2 linked regions of the Caenorhabditis elegans genome follow. The protein of the gene in region 2 interacts with the protein of the main gene of each other region in a biochemical or structural test. Each region holds a gene or a part of one and is shown on either strand. Other genes may lie near its edges.

Evidence for each region. The genes of interacting proteins can lie anywhere in the genome.
Region 1: the proteins of mihp-2 (region 2) and sprr-1 interact in a test that uses a peptide from one of them, tested with the Caenorhabditis elegans proteins (one large-scale study listed by BioGRID).

The regions. Positions count from the first base shown.
Region 1 is NC_003284.9:15,464,424-15,471,306, reverse strand, and holds sprr-1 (G-protein coupled receptors family 1 profile domain-containing protein), read right to left. Parts: upstream 5,008-6,883; 5' UTR 4,961-5,007; coding exon 4,895-4,960; intron 4,596-4,894; coding exon 4,385-4,595; intron 3,704-4,384; coding exon 3,510-3,703; intron 3,452-3,509; coding exon 3,352-3,451; intron 3,308-3,351; coding exon 2,964-3,307; intron 2,916-2,963; coding exon 2,770-2,915; intron 2,293-2,769; coding exon 2,107-2,292; intron 2,059-2,106; coding exon 1,983-2,058; intron 1,435-1,982; coding exon 1,314-1,434; intron 891-1,313; coding exon 751-890; 3' UTR 513-750; downstream 1-512. Other genes in the region: exc-1 (IRG-type G domain-containing protein), read left to right, coding at 46-253, 364-512.
Region 2 is NC_003283.11:18,902,154-18,906,786, reverse strand, and holds mihp-2 (Neuropeptide CCHamide-1), read right to left. Parts: upstream 3,016-4,633; 5' UTR 3,011-3,015; coding exon 2,929-3,010; intron 1,612-2,928; coding exon 1,502-1,611; intron 781-1,501; coding exon 694-780; 3' UTR 535-693; downstream 1-534.

The sequences.
Region 1 (6,883 bases), on a different chromosome or scaffold from region 2:
CTCGGTCAGCGGCACTGTAATAACCAAAAAGTGTCTTAATTTCAGATATTATTTCTAATTTCAAAATGCGATAAAAAGCTAGCAGCCCGAAGCCGAAGTGACGAAATCCCGGTTTGTGACTTGCTGAAGCAGCGATATATCGACAAGGCTTTGCAAAAGTTTGATAATATAATGGCAGACAAAGCAGCAGAACTACGGGGAAGAATCAATGTATTCTTTGTGTCTGCACCAGTGTTCAAAGCTCTTCGGATGGGTGGGTTATATTATATTTTTTAATTTTTTTAATTTGGTTTTTATGCTGTTGTTTGCAGTTTCCTTAAGTGAAAAATTCGTTCAATTTGGTTTTTTAATGTTAGTTTTCAGGAGATCCCAGAGAAAGTCAATTTGTGCTCCATGAGCGAGCAATGTTTGATTTCCTAAAGTCTCGACGAATGATAGCGGATATGCTGGACGACCCACCCGGAGAAGGTGTATACGCTCAATTAGATCTAGATACAGCCGGAGTTCATTGATTCATTGTCTGTGGAGACAACACAAGCTTTATTAATAATAATAATAATAATTGAAAATTCAATTTTTGTCATACATATGTAGTACATATATCTAGTGTCACTTGTACAATTTATAAAAAATGAAATGATTTTTGTGTGGGGTGGGAATGGAGCAGAAAAAGAAAAATTCAAAAAATTCAATGTGAATTGTTTGAAGAAAAATTAAATGAAACCCGATTGAGACCAATTTGATGTGAGACTAAGAAGAAACACGAGCCATCATCGCTGATAATTGTTGATTTTTTCGCAGCGCTGCCCGCAAAAGTGAACTTTTCCGCTTGATGAACATGTGATTGTCCATTTCGGTACTACATTGTGTTGAGCAATCAAATGTGGAATCTGAAAAAAGAAAATTGTAAAAAAATTGAATATTTACCAACCGAGCATATTTTGCTACAATCTAGATCTAGATAGATCTAGATAGATCTAGATAGATCTAGATAAATCTGAATAGATCTAGATAGATCTAGATAGTTTTAGATAGATCTAGATAGATCTAGATAGTTTTAGATAGATCAAGATAGATCTAGATAGATCTAGATAGATCTAGATAGATAAAGATAGATCTAGATAGATCTAGATAAATTTAGATAGATCTAGATAGATCTAGATAGATCTAGATAGATCTAGATAGATCTAGATAGTTCTAGATAGATATAGATAGATTCAGATAGATCTAGATAGATCTTGATAGAATCTGATCTAGATCTACCAAATAATTCGATAGAATTCACTTTGCATGAATTCACTAATATTCATTACCTGAGTTTTTAAATCGCTTGGGTGAATCGTGTCCTTCGACAATAATGGCAAGATCTGCAAGGAATGGGTCGAATGGAACCTCAATCTCCTCATCGAAAACGTCAGGATTGCATTGAACGGCCTGAAAAGATTCAACAATTGTCTACTGGAACATTTCTGCCAGGTGAACTACTTGATTTGCAGCTAAAAATAACTCGAAAAATAAAAAAAATGCGGCCTCTATTAAAGTTTGGCTACAAAATTGCGTGAGAGTGACTAAACGAGTGTATGGATCTATGGAACTGCACAAAGAAGAAGATGATGAAAAAGGAAGGGGGATGTTGTGTAGAAATCACTGCAGTCGGTAAACAAGATCATCTAAAACGTGACGGAAGTGAGATAAACAATCAATTTCAACTGTAACCGTACATGCATTTGTGAACTATATAATTGAGAATCGGACAACACAGCAATTAGTTCCGGTGTTAGTATACCTTAACACGACATATCGCCTATTTCACAAGTTTCGAGTGCCTGAAATCATCGGTTGAATAGATTGGGTGCGGATAGAGTTATCACAGTTTTAACACAGAATCACAGATGATCGAATTCAGATTTTCCAGAATTATAACATCGAATGTGCTGTGTCACCGGTCTCTGAATCGGATTCAACATTATTGGCCAACCCACCTTGTCTTTCTTCGCCCGCTCCTCTGGAACGCTAGACACCAATGTTCCGTTTGCCGAGCACAAAACAACCGATTGACTGCAAAATAATTGGTGGGTCAAGATCAGGATTGCTTTTTAAATGTACCGTTTATCATCACTGTGATCAGTGACACCTTGGACAAGCTGCATTGTTGTTGAGTTATCCTTATCTCGGATCGCATGAGTGAGCATTTTTCCAGTGAACATTTGTCGTACGACATCTCGGAACTGTTGGGACATTCCACAGTAGATCGCAAAGCGGAATGGGTAGGACACCACAATCAAGACGTTTCTGAATTTTCAAATATTTTAGGGCTCCCATGAGGTGGCCGCAACGGCGCCTGCGCCGGCCTCACGGCGTCACTCAAACCGCATGTATCTTAATGTATAGTGTGGCGCGGAACCCCAAACGTGTCGGCCGCTTCCAAACAACCACTTCTTTGCACTACGTTGCGCACACATCAAGCTACTCATTTCACGCCAAGCTGCGGAACCCCGAACGTGTCGGCCGCTCCAAATAACTACTTTTCGCAGTTCATTGCACACACAGGGGCGTCGGCGTAAAGCCGGCCGGCGTGAGGCCCGCATTTGCCGCCTCACTCAGCTGGGGGCCCCAAACTACAAACAAAAAATGTATTATTGTAATCATGAAGCATGCTCCTTCTTCTCGTAGATGACATTTAAGGCATTTTTATATTAGGAATCACCTTTTTCATATTTGGTATCAGATCGATTTTTCCTTTTTTAATCGCTAATAAGGCAGAATTACCTGACTATGAGTAGAATATTCAGGAACTGATAGTCTACAAAGCTGAACTTCAGAGACACTGACAACACATGAATTGTAAAAATTAATGCAGCTGGTATTTCAGTGATCAGGAATAGCAGGATCACCACCACCAGCATCCGCGTATTCTGAAATCATTACAGTACTCTTCAGCATCCGATGCATTCGTCAAGTACCTGCTTCAATCCATGAGCTCGACGAGGTTCGTTACCCACACTGACGCTGTCGCGCTGCTTGAACAATCGAGTTATTTTATTTTCGTTCTCCGACGAATTCGTCAGCTCGGAGAACTTTCGTCGCGTCGAACGAGTCGTCGTGGAATACTTGGAGAGAAGATTGGCGTGACGGCGGTCTGCCACCCTAATGGCGCCCACCAGTTTCCATGTGAAAATGACAAGCAGCACAGACGGGATGAGATGAACGGCGACGGTTTGTGTTGTGAACATCACTTTGTAGTAAATGTCATCACCGAGTTTCAACATGAATGGAGCACGATGTCGATAGCAAAGCTTCATAGTTCCTGGAACCCACCACGTGGAGCTGTAGTTCAAAATTAAAACTTACGATTTCTCTTGCTGTCAAACACATCGTGGCTTTTATTATGGAATGCCATGAGGTCAGGTGTGTACATAATTGTAGCAACTGATATTATGAAAAATATAACCTGAAATTAAAATAATTTTTTTTTAGAAATTTTTATAAAATTCAAAAAAAAAACTTACTTGTTTACTTCTATGAATGGTGCAAAACTTGCGAACTAGCGACGGAACGCATATATAAATGTATCGTTGAATGGCTAGATATACTGTCAGCCAGATTGCCATTGTATGAAATATTGACGGTAAAAATGCCGCCATGTAGGGTATCATGTCACACCAGAAGCTGGGCAACCCGGTTTGTAAATCGTTTTTGTATCCTGAAAAATGTTGGCCGATGTGTAATTGATGTGTAAATGAAATATCTCATTAATTCTGAGAGCAGTAAAATTTTCGCCGCGATCCGAAATCTTATTAGCGACGTGCGGAACCCAAAAATTGTCGGACGCGGAGCCAAGTTTGCACCAATTAGTGTCATACTTTATATCACTATTTGGTACAAACTTAGCTGTGCGTCCGACACTTTTTGGGTTCCGCGAATCGCTATAAAAATTTCGGACGGCGTGAAAGCGGCGTTTGCGGAGCCCACATGGGAGCCCTAGTTTAAACATATGCGAACATTTCGAAAGCTTTTTAAACGTATTTTGAAGTTTTCACCTACTTTGCTAAAAATTAAAAACTGGGTAATTATAACCTTCTGAACTGTTTCTGACGCGTTTAAAAAATAGTGAAAAATACCCTAATAATTTTTTTTAAATTTAAATTGTTGCAATTCCATAGACAGTTCTCAAATACTTTGAATTTATACTTTGAATTTATACAATTTATTTGTTTTTTGAATTTCAAGGTGTATAAAAAATATGAAGTCCAGTGGAAAGGTCCTTCCGTTTCCGGTTTTCCTATGAACTTTCTCAGAGAGCTCAGACCCTGAATCGGTGAGCGGGTTTTTTTGTGATTTTAGGACAAAACAATTTTTAAATCAAACAGCTTAAAGAACTTACCTGATAAAGTATAATAGTACGTGAACCATGGCAAACATGACAGCCCTGTTAGCAGCTCCGTCACCGCCATTGCCAACAGCACGTAATTTGTTGGCGTCCGCAGGTATTTGTGCGAAAGAACAACCACAATAAAACTATTTGTTGCCACCGTGAGTGTAACAATGAAAGGCATCATATACCCATACATTGGAACGGCCCAGTCAACCGGAACCTGAATTGATGAACTTTTGAAATTGAGCCAAATCTTCTTGCATGTATGTATGTGTGTGTTTTTTTATTTGCGTCACTGACAAAAAATGATTGGGCTTTTTTTTAAATTTAGTTCTTTTGTTCCTCTGTTCCCTACCAATTCTCCAACCGAATTTGTTGTGCTGGATAAATCTTAGGACACAGGGGAAAATGAAATTGTATGTACTTTTCTTTTCTAGTCTTTTCTGCTCTAAAATTAAAATACTTTGTTTTTAGGCTTAGGAGTAAAAAATAAAAACATAAAAATTTTTTTGACCCTACCATGATGCCAATGAACACCGGTCGGCACGTAAAGTTGTAGTAGCACATCGGATGATGGATCGCCATTGTTTGATTGTGGCCAATTTGATAACTTTCGGGCTCCAACTTGAATTCTGCAGAGTGAAAATGATGTATAAATGTTTTGAGTTGAAAATACATTTGAGATAAAAATAGCAACGAGACACCTGAAAATGGGGCGAGGAATGCTGAGTGACAGATTTAGAATCCAGTACTGAGAAAAAGGCACAACATTTTGTTTTGGCGAGAATGTAAGATCAAAAATTTCACTAAAATTTCTACGTTAAAAAAAACATGGTGAAGTTGTAGAAAAAATAGTACTGTATAGTTTTCAATTGAAGGTTTTTTAAAATGCAATATGTGAAATTAAATCTATGTACGTCGGAGATTTATCAAATGCGGATTCAAGAACATCTTAGTTTTTATTTGAAACAGGTTTTTGAATACATACTAGTTTTCTCATATCTTGCAAGAGATAGCTGAAAATTTGAAAAAAACATTTCTGCAATTTTCGTTGAAGCAAAGTTAGTGAAATTTTTTAAAACTATTTGTTCCAAATTTTTGCCTCAAAATTCTATTTGTTAATGATGTAACCGTACTCTAACTAGAGAAAAACAAAGCAATTGGCGAAAAAAGTTCAAACAAAGGAAACGTAATGAATTGAAGAAAAAACTGATTGCAATTTGTTTTCAACATAAAGTTTGTCTAGACTTTTGATATAAAAAGTCAATGAAACAAGGGATAATTAAACTTTAAATATAGTTTTAGACGGCTTCTTCCGATTTTGATAAGCATCAATTTTCAATACAACTTTCTTGCACTGTAGGTAAAAATGAAGTGGCAATTTGGGGGAAGTCGAAGATCAAGAATTATTTTGGAGCGCAATGCATTTTTTTTTTCAGAAATTCTTGTCGTTTTCAGCTTTTCTAGCAGACAAAACAAACACCAGTGAACAACTCCCGCCTACTTTCTGAATATTGCTCACAATAGAATAGAATGATGCATTTTTTTTCTCTCCATTCCGTTTTTCACCACCTACCGCTCGGCGCCTATTGTCGTAAGAGGTATTGGAAGAGTCTTGAAAGATGATGTTAACGGTGGTTAGTCTTTGAAAAAAGAAATAGAAAAAAAGGAAGACAGATTGACAGTCTTAGACAAACAACAAATTTTATAGATTAAGACGGCCAGCGTCATACCCTTTCCAAGTAGGAAATCGAATTAAGACTTGGCTCATCCCACTTTTTTTTTGAAGTGAAAAAAAAAATGAAAAAAAAATGGAAAAAAATTGGTCCCTCCGCAGCTTGTTAGCAATCAGGGGACTCCTTTATATTTGCGTAATTAGAGTACGTCAACAATTTCGTTAGTATGTGGGTTTTTCGAGAGTTTAAGGCGAGGGGAAAGAAGCAAGAAGTAGGGACGAAAGAGTATGTGTGGATGGATGTCTCATCGCTTTTCCTTCCTGTCCCGGACCCCACCCTCCCCCTATACTCACATGCTCTCGTTTTCCGGTAGTCCGTCTCAGTCCGATGAACTTTTCCAAGAGTTTGGGGTTGGAGGAAAGACGAATTTAACCGGAAAATAGGAAACTGCTCAGTTGGCGTTTGGTTTTGAACGTTTGGTGAAAGAGTCAACTGTGTGCTCGGGAACAAAACATTTTGAAGATTCTAAGAAGATCGAATTTACAGTTACATACAAAATTCTTGGGCTTTCAAAAGTAGAATTGGGATGCTACTTTTGAAAGCCCAAAGAATAAACCAACAGCCTGTCTTTCAATTGTGACAGATTCGTACAAAAAACTGTAAGAGGTATGCCATGTTTGAGCAATCTGATAAAAAAATAGAATAAATAATCGAATCACAGTAAAGTGCCACAAGAACCATCCTACAAATAGGCCTGGCATTTAGCGCTAATTTTTTGTACAGAAACTATGATCCTGAGGAAAAATTGTCAAATCTTGGGAAAAAATATGTT
Region 2 (4,633 bases):
GCTGGAGAGAAACTAGGTCAGGGGTTCAATACCCGGTGAATGCCAAAATTTTTTGCATCATCGATTTACTTTGTAGTAAACATTTTTAGCATCCAAATGTTTTAAATCTGATTTTTTACAATTTTTAAGAAAATCTGAAACTTTGTGAAAGATTTTTTGGAATATCTCGAAAACTAGTAGAGATATCGAAAAAATATTGTGTTTATCTTGTTCAGCACAAAATTTGCAACTGATTTGACACTCATATTGATAATTTTGAAATCTTGGATTTTGGGCCCCGGAAAGCTCCGCAAGCCCATAACTTGGCTCAAAGTGACCCTAGAGCAAAATTAAGTAAATTTTTGGATTTCTTATAAAATTTTGATCCTCGAAATGGCAAATTTGAAGCATAGCCGTCAATTTCAAGTTTTCAAATTTCGGGAGTTGTGGCTCAGGTGGTTAGAGGGTTGGTTGAGACGAAAGGGTCGGGGGTTCGACTCCCACTAGTGTTAAATGATTTTTGCATGTTGAAATTAGTATGTTGGAAAAAATATATAACATTGTCCATTTTATCAAATCAGGGAAAATAGGGGGGCGGAGAAGAGAGAAAAACGAGAATTTTGGTGTTTTGGTAAAAAAAAAATTAAAAAGCACACACACAACAGTCGACAGTGCACATAATTGTTTTTAAATAAAAATTTAAAGAAAAAATATTTATTTGCGGCCCCATGCAAAGCCCAAATCCTGCCAATCGGGGTTCTTTTTCACTGGGTGAAGAGCTCGAGCCGCGCGGTGAGGGATCTGGAATTTTTTTAAAATTGTTTTCCGATACAAATTGAATATCAGAGACACTTTGAAACATTTTAGTTTTTAAATCATTAAAAAATAATGAAAACTGAAAAAGTTACAGCAGTTTCTAAAATCGCAATTTTTTCCAAAAATTAAAATTTCAAAACTACCGTAACATTGCAGATTTCGCTCTAAGACCCATAAAACTTAAATTGTCTTATTCAGCAAGTCATGGGCTTTAAAATGTTATGACTGGATTTCAGATTTTAGTTTCTTCCAGTTTTTGGCTCCCGCAAGGAATATTTCGCGGCGGGACCCATTTTTTAGTTTTCTGGAATTTTAGTCATAACTTTACTTTTTGTTCTAGAAACTTTGTAACACGTTTATGTTGAAATTTAGAGAAATTCCTGAAAAAAAAACAAAGTTACGGTATTTTTTGACATTTTCGTGGTGGGACCCAAAATTGCAGAATTTTCCAAAATTTTTAACTTAGTCATGATTATACTTATTTGAAAGCTGCTTTTATGCTGAGTTTGAATATTTCAGTTTCGTGGATCTCAACACGAAATTGGCTGGATTTTGAAATTTCAAATTTGCGGAAAAATCCAATTTTTAAAACTCCCGCATTTCAGTCAATTTTCCAGATTTTTCGATAATTCAAAAACTAAAATGCATCGAATTTTTTATATTTTTACAATTTCACAATTTCACGACTTCTTAATGTGCTTTTTACCTCCATTCCAGCGCTTCTCTTTCCCCAAGCCCATCCCAACTGATTCCATTCTGGATTGTTCTCCGGTTGCAGTAGAGCACTTCGTTTCATTGTTCGGTCAGATGGGTATCCTGCAATTGGAAATTTAGATAATTTTTTCAGACATAATGAATAAAAAAATAAGCTTTGAAATTGTTTTTCGGAAATTTCCAAAAAAAAAAAAAATTTTTTGAATTTTTTTTTTGAAATTTCTTTTTTGAAATTTTTTTTGAATTTTTTTGGGGTAAAAACTACTTCCGTAATAAGCTTTTTAAATTTTCACTAAATTTTTTCAAAATTTTTAGATAATTTCAGGCTTTCAGGGACTGTAATTATTTTAAATTATTTTTTCTGACATAATTCTTGTTTTCAGACAAAAAAAATAATCTAAAAACATGTTTTTCAGTTAATAAATTATTAAAAAGTAAAAAGGAAACTGACTTAAAAATTTTTAAAAAATTTTGAATTAACAATATTGAAAACTTAAAAATTCGATTTTTTCCTAAAATCTCACATATTAAAACTACCATAATCCGGCCAATTTCGTGTTGAGACCCATGAGAATAAAATTTTCAAATTCAGCATGAAAAGGGCTTTCGAATAAGTATAATCATGACTAAGTTAAAAATTTTGGAAAATTCTGCAATTTTGGGTCTCACCACGAAAATGTCCAAAAACTACCGTCACTTTATTTTTTCAGGAATTTTTCCAAATTTTAACATCAACGTATTACAGACTTTCTAAAAATGTACATATTTGACTAAATTTCCAGAAATTTCTGAAAAATGGGTAACGCCGCGAAATATTCCCTGCGAGACCCAAAAACTGGAAAAAACTAAAATCTGAAATCCAGTCATGATTATACTTATTTGAAAGCCCATGACTTGCTAAATTTGAAAAATTTAGTTTTATGGGTCTCAAAACGAAAGCTGCTAGGTAACGGTAGTTTTGAAAATTTAATTTTTGAAAAAAAAATTTGATTTTTCAAACTGTCGTATTTTTGTACTTTCAATATTAAAAAAAAATGTTTTTTTGAAATCTGGAACTGAAATATTTCTATTTTTGTATTTTTTTTTAATTTTTACCACATTTTCTATAAATTTTCATAAATCTGAACATATATTTTAAAAATTTGTCAAAATTTTCAAAACTTTTTTTTTTTAATTTTTTCTGAAAAATTAATACTTAAGGTTATTTTGCATTTAAACGAGGTATATACACTAAAATGAAGCAATAACAAAATTTTTTTTAGTTTTTAAAAAAAAATTTCAAAAAAAAATAAAAAAATTTGTCCAGCCCAAAAAAAATTTTGCCTCAAAATTTTCAAACTCTTGTAATTTTTTTCAAAATCAACATTTCCCGCCAATTTTTGACTTAAATTGAAGCCAATTTTCCGCTCTTCAACATACCTGAATAATAGTTACCGGCTGCTGAGGTGAACTGCAAGACGGCGAGCAAAACCGCGAGAAGTGTGACTACTTGCACTCTCATTTTACCTGAAAATTTGCAATTTTTCAGATTTTTACAAAAAAAAAGGTTTCCGACGGGGTTAAAAGTCTCGAAAAAAAAAATTTATTCTCCTTAAAATCCTGTTAGTATTTATTAAAAAATTTGGAGCATTTTTTGGCGAAAATTCCAAAAATTTTGATAAAGACTAACGGGAGATGGGAATTTTTTGGAAATTTTTTCGGTAAAATTTTTTGACAAATAATTTTTAAAATCTTTCAAAAACAGTGAGTCTAATAAAATATGAAATATGATTTAAGCTCCGCCCACAACAGCCTCGGAGCTCCGCCCCCTTTTCAGATGACACAGAGTGGCCAATCGGGGTTTTATTAATTAGTGAATTCAAAAAAATATTAAAAATGTATATATTCCGGATAAAAAAAGGAATTTTAAAGGAAAAAGTGTAAGAAAAATTTTTCAAAAAAAATTTTTTTTTTTTGAAAAATATATTCAAAAAAAAAATTTTTTTTTCATTTTTTTTCCAAAACAGTGTGTAGATGTAAATACGGTTTTATAGTATTTTTTATGAGAAATTCAGTTCATTTTGAGTTTCACAAGTATCTCATTTCCCAACAAAGCGATTTGAAGTTGGTGGCCTAGAAAACCAAACGTTAGGCCATAAATTGGTAAATTGGCCGGGAATCTAGACAATTCAAAAAAAAAAAACAAAATAGATTTTTCACGTCTATATATGCCGAAAAAATTTCAAAATTTTTTTTTTTATTTCGAAAAAAAAAATTTTTTTTGAAATTTTTCCAGAAGTTTTTTTTTTAATTTTTAAATTTGTAAAACAGTGAAATATAAGGGTGTATGCTTTAAAATTTTTTTCTAAAAAAAGAAAATCTAAAAAAAGAATTAGATTTGCCACTTCTAATATAAATGCAAAAAATGAAAACAAATTTCAAAAAAAAAAATGTTTATGGAATTTTTTTTTTCAAATTTTTTCCTGCTCCAAATCTCAACCCCACCCTTTTTTACAGTAATCCTAGTATAATAATACACCTAATTAAAAACCGGAAAAGGCGCAATGAAAAGAATTCGTAATAAAACGGAAATTTCAAATTTTCGAGCAAAATCTTTTTATTTATATATATATATAAATTTTCAAGTGGGTGTGTGAGTGTGAGCTGGATAATTAGATGACGTATCCTTCAAAAATTTCGGAATTTAAAATCTGTGCTTTAAGCCTTCTTCCGTGCTCCCCCAACCAACGAGTGATCCAATTATTTCTGCCAATTTGCATGAAAACGGCGCGGCAAGAGAAATCTGAAAAACAAAACCGGTTTTTTAGTGGAGTAATGCACATTTTAAGGGGTTCTGCTCACATTTCAAAAAAGGAAATGTCGCCTGAATTAAGTAGAAACCTAAAAAAAAATCCGAGTTTTTCGGATGAAAATTCCAAATTTGAAAATTTCCAAACTGAAACTTACTTTTATAACTTGAAAATTGATTTAAAATATTGTTCAAACAAAATAAAAACTATCGGCCTGAGCGGGGGTTTGAACCCGCGACCGTTTTTTATAATTTGTCCCTCTTCCCACCTGAGCCAAAAACACCCCAAATTTGAAATTTTGAAAATCATGGCTAAGCTCTAAATTTACACTTTCT